Pelodiscus sinensis: one gene and its partner. The protein of the gene in region 2 interacts with the protein of the main gene of each other region in a biochemical or structural test. Links are inferred from orthologs where the notes say so. Each region holds a gene or a part of one and is shown on either strand. Other genes may lie near its edges.

What was found. The genes of interacting proteins can lie anywhere in the genome.
Region 1: the proteins of SNCA (region 2) and APOE form a complex in vitro, tested with the Homo sapiens proteins (2 studies listed by BioGRID and IntAct). The link is inferred for Pelodiscus sinensis from reciprocal best matches to the Homo sapiens genes SNCA and APOE.

What each region holds. Positions count from the first base shown.
Region 1 is NW_027465876.1:424,385-428,127, forward strand, and holds the start of APOE (apolipoprotein E), read right to left. Parts: upstream 2,790-3,743; 5' UTR 2,690-2,789; exon of another isoform or gene 2,663-2,689; intron 1,693-2,662; 5' UTR 1,679-1,692; coding exon 1,636-1,678; intron 1-1,635. UniProt on the Homo sapiens protein: APOE is an apolipoprotein, a protein associating with lipid particles, that mainly functions in lipoprotein-mediated lipid transport between organs via the plasma and interstitial fluids.
Region 2 is NC_134715.1:16,040,778-16,044,520, forward strand, and holds the start of SNCA (alpha-synuclein), read right to left. Parts: upstream 2,408-3,743; 5' UTR 2,142-2,407; intron 1-2,141. UniProt on the Homo sapiens protein: Neuronal protein that plays several roles in synaptic activity such as regulation of synaptic vesicle trafficking and subsequent neurotransmitter release.

The DNA of each region.
Region 1 (3,743 bases), on a different chromosome or scaffold from region 2:
GACGGGGGCCCTTTGCGCCGGCCGCACCCAGACTGACCGAGACGGGGGCCCTTTGCGCCGGCCGCACCCAGACTGACCGAGACGGGGGCCCTTTGCGCCGGCCCCACCCAGACTGACCGAGATGGGCCCTGTCATCCCGGGCCCTGCATGGACCCCCACCAAGACAGGGGCCCTGTCATGCTGAGCACTGCAGATCCTGACAGAGATCGGGGGCTTCCTTGGTCCAGGCTTTGTACAAAACGCACAATAGGCGGGTTACCAGCTGAAAGGGAGCACACGATCTGTGGACGGGTTGGGGCTCGGAGTCAGCACCCCCCCCCCAGTGCTCTAACCACTGCCCCCACTGCCCTCCCAGCGCCAGGATGGACCCCAGGAGTCCTGGCTCCCACCCCCAGTGCTCTAACCACTGGCCCCCACTGCCCTCCCAGCACCAGGATGGACCCCAGGAGTCCTGGCTCCCAGCCCCAGTGCTCTAACCACTGGCCCCCACTGCCCTCCCAGCGCCGGGATGGACCCCAGGAGTCCTGGCTCCCAGCCCCAGTGCTCTAACCACTGGCCCCCACTGCCCTCCCAGCACCAGGATGGACCCCAGGAGTCCTGGTTCCCAGCCCCAGTGCTCTAACCACTGGCCCCCACTGCCCTCCCAGCACCAGGATGGACCCCAGGAGTCCTGGCTCCCAGCCCCAGTGCTCTAACCACTGGCCCCCACTGCCCTCCCAGCACCAGGATGGACCCCAGGAGTCCTGGTTCCCAGCCCCAGTGCTCTAACCACTGGCCCCCACTGCCCTCCCAGCGCCAGGATGGACCCCAGGAGTCCTGGCTCCCAGCCCCAGTGCTCTAACCACTGGCCCCCACTGCCCTCCCAGCGCCGGGATGGACCCCAGGAGTCCTGGCTCCCAGCCCCAGTGCTCTAACCACTGGCCCCCACTGCCCTCCCAGCGCCGGGATGGACCCCAGGAGTCCTGGTTCCCAGCCCCAGTGCTCTAACCACTAGCCCCCACTGCCCTCCCAGCGCCAGGATGGACCCCAGGAGTCCTGGTTCCCAGCCCCAGTGCTCTAACCACTAGCCCCCACTGCCCTCCCAGCGCCAGGATGGACCCCAGGAGTCCTGGCTCCCAGCCCCAGTGCTCTAACCACTGGCCCCCACTGCCCTCCCAGCACCGGGATGGACCCCAGGAGTCCTGGTTCCCAGCCCCAGTGCTCTAACCACTGGCCCCCACTGCCCTCCCAGCGCCAGGATGGACCCCAGGAGTCCTGGCTCCCAGCCCCAGTGCTCTAACCACTGGCCCCCACTGCCCTCCCAGCGCCGGGATGGACCCCAGGAGTCCTGGCTCCCACCCCCAGTGCTCTAACCACTGCCCCCACTGCCCTCCCAGCACCAGGATGGACCCCAGGAGTCCTGGCTCCCAGCCCCAGTGCTCTAACCACTGGCCCCCACTGCCCTCCCAGCGCCGGGATGGACCCCAGGAGTCCTGGCTCCCAGCCCCAGTGCTCTAACCACTGGCCCCCACTGCCCTCCCAGCACCAGGATGGACCCCAGGAGTCCTGGCTCCCAGCCCCCTTAGCGTGGGGGGGGGGGGGGATCTAGCCGGGTGAGGGGCAGGGGAATGGGGAAGAACTCAAGGGGCCATTTACCTGCCAGCAGGGTGGCTCCCAGCAGCACAGTCCAGACCTTCATGGCTGCAGCTTTGCCTGTGGGGAGAGAGGCCTGGGGTGAAGGAGGCTGGGGGGGGAAGAGAGAGGCTGGGGTGAAGGAGGCTGGGGGGGAGAGGGCTGGGGTGAAGGAGGCTGGGGGGGAGGCCTGGGGCGAAGGAGGCTGGGGGGGGAGAGGGCTGGGGTGAAGGAGGCTGGGGAGGAAGAGAGAGGTTGGGGTGAAGGAGGCTGGGGGGGAGGCCTGGGGCGAAGGAGGCTGGGGGGGAGAGGGCTGGGGTGAAGGAGGCTGGGGGGGAGAGGGCTGGGGTGAAGGAGGCTGGGGAGGAAGAGAGAGGTTGGGGTGAAGGAGGCTGGGGGGGGAGAGGGCTGGGGTGAAGGAGGCTGGGGGGGAGAGGGTTGGGGTGAAGGAGGCTGGGGAGGAAGAGAGAGGTTGGGGTGAAGGAGGCTGGGGGGGGAGAGGGCTGGGGTGAAGGAGGCTGGGGGGGGAGAGGGCTGGGGTGAAGGAGGCTGGGGAGGAAGAGAGAGGTTGGGGTGAAGGAGGCTGGGGGGGAGAGGGCTGGGGTGAAGGAGGCTGGGGGGGGAGAGGGCTGGGGTGAAGGAGGCTGGGGGGGAGAGGGCTGGGGTGAAGGAGGCTGGGGGGGGAGAGGGCTGGGGTGAAGGAGGCTGGGGAGGAAGAGAGAGGTTGGGGTGAAGGAGGCTGGGGGGGGGAAGAGGGTTGGGGTGAAGGAGGCTGGGGGGGGAGGCCTGGGGCGAAGGAGGCTGGGGGGGGAGAGGGCTGGGGCGAAGGAGGCTGGGGGGGGAGAGGGCTGGGGTGAAGGAGGCTGGGGAGGGTGAGGCCTGGCACAGAGAAACAAGCTGAGGTGCAGAGCCCATAGGAAGCTAAAGCAAGGAAAGCCCTTGCCCTTCTGGGCTGCTGCCCACCCCACCCACCTCTGGGCTGCCCCCCACCTGCCCCCAAACCAGCCTCCTGAAGGTTGCAACCTCTGCCTCTCCTCCTGCTGCCCCTCACCCGTCTCCTCCGGCCTGCACTACCCACCCTGTCTTTTCCCAGGCTGCCCTCAGCTCTCGATGCCTGGGCCCCACTTCCTGCCTTAAATACCCACAGCAGCAGCACGGGGGCGGGGTGGGGGCAGAGCCAGCACAAACTCGCCAAGGCAGCTGTAGGGGTGAAGGTTACTTCCCCCCCCCCCCCTCATGGAGCTGCACAGTCCCCCTTGGAGAGTGTTAACCCTCTGCTTGCCGGGGCAGGCGACAGACAAACAGACGTGCTCTCCCCTTGCCCCGTGCTGTCTGCCAGGCCTCCTGTCTCTGCCAGCAAGTAGCCCCCTCAGGGATGGAGGGGCAGGAGGCAAAGGGGAGTCGCTCCTGCCACACTCGGGGGGCAGACCCAAAGGGAGGAATCAGCCCCCAGCAGCATGTGTGTCCTGTTTGCCAAGGAAACCACAGAGAGGATCCAAGTTTAACAAGCTGGGGGGGGTGACCCTGGGGGGTGGACCTGACCCCTAGGTGTTAGGGGGGCCAAGACCTGGGGCTGAGGTTGGTTGTGTGGGGTGGTGCTGGGACCTGCTGTGGTGCCATGATGTGCCTTGTGCGGTGCTCACACCTCGTGCCTCATGTTTGTGGGGAACCCTGAGACCTCATGCTGGGTGGGGTGTGGATGAAAATTCACTACAGCCCCAGACTGTGATGTTTGGAGACCCGTGCGGCCCCCCCTTCCCCCGGCATGCATCTTGCTAGGGACCTCACTCCATGTGGGGGGCAGAGCTGTGGGAACGGATAGAGCGCTCTGCTTGCTCTGGTGCCTGCAGCTAAGCCCCACTGTAACCTGGTGGGGCCCGTGAGAGCCAGCTCCAGAGTGCACCCCGGACCCAGCGAGAGCCAGCTCCAGAGCGCTCCCCGGTCCCAGCGAGAGCCAGCTCCAGAGCGCACCCCGGTCCCAGCGAGAGTCAGCTCCAGAGCGCTCCCCGGTCCCAGCGAGAGCCAGCTCCAGAGCGCACCCCGGTCCCAGCGAGAGCCAGCTCCAGAGCGCACCCTGGTCCCAGCGAGAGCCAGCTCCAGAGCGCACCCTCCCGTCCCAGCGAGAGCCAGCT
Region 2 (3,743 bases):
ATAAGAATTCTGTTGGTACCTGTACCACTTCCTTTATTCCTCTGATGCTGCTGACTAAGGGTATGTCTACACAGCAAAGTTATTTCAAAATAACGGCCGTTATTTCGAAATAACTATCCTAGCATCTACAGAGCCATTCCGTTACTGCGAAATTAATTTGAAATAGCAGAGGGCTTATTTCAAAATTGTTAACCCTCATTCCACGAAGAATAGTGCCAATTTTGAAACTACTATTTCAAAAATAAGCGCTGTGTAGAGGCTTATTTCGAAAAAAAGGGGACCTCCAGCCCTTCCCAGGGTGCCCTGCTGGCCGCTCTGGCCACAAGGCAACTTCTGACCTGATGCCCTGCCAGAACTGGTTCCAACCAGCCTTAAATGCGATTCAACGACCACTCAGTGTGGACGCGCTATTTCAAAATAGAAAAACACTATTGCGACCTGCATTTTGTGTGTAGACGCGTTCTTTCGAAATAAGCTATTTCGAATGAACTATTTTGAAAGTAGATATTTCAAAATAATGCTGTAGTGTAGACATACCCTTTGACTGGGTGCCAAACATCTGGGCGGCAGCAACCACTACCTACTTGTGATCATTTAAATGTGGAAATAAACAGGAGCGAGATTTGTCTCATTAGCACACACTGCAAAATCTGTCACCCTCCCACAGAAAGGGAACAGCTTTCACACTGCTTTAAATAGGAATCTCGGGTGAAATGCATGAGATCGAGCCTTCTGCCGTCACACAATCTCTCTGGAGCTACGAGGGTGAGGCTGGATCCACTTGACACCTACCCTCAGCCGCAGGGGAAAGCTCCAAATCCGTTTTAGGAGTCCCGCCCTGCTCCAGAAGGCTGCAGCTACCTGGACACAGTGTCCTAGTGGAAATTAGCCGAGCGGGGATGAGACATCTCTGCGCACGTGGGCAATGCCCGCTCAGACAATAGTGGCTCCAGTCCCTCGTCCCCGTCTCCCGCACAGGGAGCTGCACTCGGAGCTCCAGAACCGCCCCCCCCCCCTCGCTTGAGGTGCTCTGTGGGGCTTGCTGGGGGTGGGGAGGCTCCTGCTGGTGGGGCGGCGCCACTCCTGAGCCTGCCCGCTACCAAGCGGGGGGGGGGGGGGGGGGCGGGCAGCTCCCGCCCGGGACTGCTCCTGGGGGCACCGGCACGTACGGACCCCGCCGCCCAGAGCGACCGGACAGAGCGCCGTGACCATAGAGACACAAACAGACCCGGTCACGGACACGGGACAGAGTAGCAGAGGCATACAGGCACCTATAGACCCTGTCTCATGGACAGGGCGGGGTGCTAGGACCATACAGGCACCTATAGAACCGGTCTCATAGACAGGGCTGGGTGCTAGGACAATACAGGCACCTATAGAACCGGTCTCATAGACAGGGCGGGGTGCTAGGACCATACAGGCACCTATAGAACCGGTCTCATAGACAGGGCGGGGTGCTAGGACCATACAGGCACCTATAGAACCGGTCTCATAGACAGGGCGGGGTGCTAAGACCATACAGGTACCTATAGAACCGGTCTCATAGACAGGGCAGGACGGGGTGCTAGGACCATACAGGCACCTATAGACCCGGTCTCATAGACAGGGCGGGGTGCTAGGACCATACAGGCACCTATAGAACCGGTCTCATAGACAGGGCGGGGTGCTAGGACCATACAGGCACCTATAGAACCGGTCTCATAGACAGGGCGGGGTGCTAAGACCATACAGGTACCTATAGAACCGGTCTCATAGACAGGGCGGGGTGCTAGGACCATACAGGCACCTATAGACCCGGTCTCATAGACAGGGCGGGGTGCTAGGACCATACAGGCACCTATAGACCCGGTCTCAGGCAGGGCAGGGCGGGGTGCCAGGACCATACAGGCACATCACGACCCTATAGGCACATACAGACCCACCCTCCTGTCCGTCGGCAGGCTGGATCTATATGTCCCTCCTCCCCCCCCCCCCCCCAAATCAGAAACCCTTCCACCAGGCGCGCCCCGGCTGCCGTGCTTCAGCCAGCTCCCTGGCACCTGCCCCGCTCCGCCCGTCGGGGAGGACCCTGGGCCGGTCCCCCCGCGGGGGGAAAGCCAGAGCCCGGCCACAGGCAGCGCAGCCCCGCCCAGGCTACTTACCGCCGGACGGGACTTCAGCCTGCAGCCGTGGGGAGCCTGCGAGCGCCGGGACGCGAGCGGTGGGTCGCACAGGCCCCGCGGGAGCTGCCCCCTTTCAGCGCATCCCCGGCAAAGCGGGCGGAGAGAAGCAGGGAGCGAGTCCGGCAGCTCACGCGCCCGGTCCCAGCTCCGCGGGCGGGGATCGGAGAGAAGGGGAGGAGAGAAGGGAGCGGGGAGCGATGGTGAGGCGCTTCTAGCGTGCGAAGCAGCCCCTCGCCCTCCTCCCCCGCCCTCTCGGCTGATTTGCCAGGGGGAAGAAAGAGACACCCCTCCACCCCCAGCCTTTGGGCTCCAGTGCCGCTCCCCCCCCCCCCACATCCAGCCTGACGTGGGGCGGGACAGCTCTCTGGCTACAGCACCCCCAGCATTGAGACTGCTAATGGGAGTGGAGTGGAGCTTGGGCCACAAGCTATTTTTAGCCCGAGTTTATCTACCCCAGTGAGTGCCTGGTCCATGTAGACATAATCACAGATCCTGGGGGGAATCGTATTTCACCGCTGGGGATTGCAGGGGCCTGGCATGGGGCAGGCCATCATTAGCTTCTCCAGTTCCCCTTTGACTCATTAACAACAATAAAGCTGGATATATAATAAAACCTAGGAGGTGGATACATTTTTATTCAAGTTCACACACATTAAGGCTAGGCAAGATACCCACCGGGTAAAATGGAAAGATAGATCCTCTTGATCTTCCTTTCTAAGGGTATGTCTACACTACCCCCCTAGTTCGAACTAGGAGGGTAATGTATGCATACCGCACTTGCAAATGAAGCCCAGGATTTGAATTTCCCGGGCTTCATTTGCATAAGCGGGGAGCCGCCATTTTAAAAACCCCGCTGGTTCGAACCCCGTGCAGCGCAGCTACACGGGGCTTGAACTAGGTAGTTCTGAATAGGAATCCTAGTCCGAACTACCTAGTTCGAGCCCCGTGTAGCCGCGCAGCACGGGGTTCGAACCAGCGGGGTTTTAAAAACGGTGGCTCCCCGCTTATGCAAATGAAGCCCGGGAAATTCAAAACCCGGACTTCATTTGCAAGTGCGGTATGCCTACATTACCCCGCTAGTTCGAACTAGCGGGGTAGTGTAGACATACCCTCAGCTCCCAAATTATCCCAGAAAAGAAAGAACAGCAGTAGTTTTTCCAAAGTGCCTAAGGTCAGAGCCAGATTATCCAGTAAACACAGTGCATATAGCCTACAAAAAATTTAGGGCCCCAAAAAAAATCATGATTGACTCAAAAATAAGAAAATAAAACAGCTCAATCACACTTAATAATTTGCTATTTTTATTAGAATACATGTGCAAATGTTGAAGATCAATTAAATGGAGGTGTTATTAAATCTTTAGTCAACAAACAACATGCAGGTATAACATACAATTAAATATTTATTTTGTGACTCTTTCTGTTAGCAAAATCACAGACTACATAATCAAATGTTATTTTTCTCAAAAGCTCACTCTCAATTGAAAGTAGTGCAAGGGAGATAGTTGTTTCTGACCCATAGTAGACTGAAGACAGTCCTTCATATAGTTTAACTTTGAAAAAGAGTACTCCCTTCACAGTT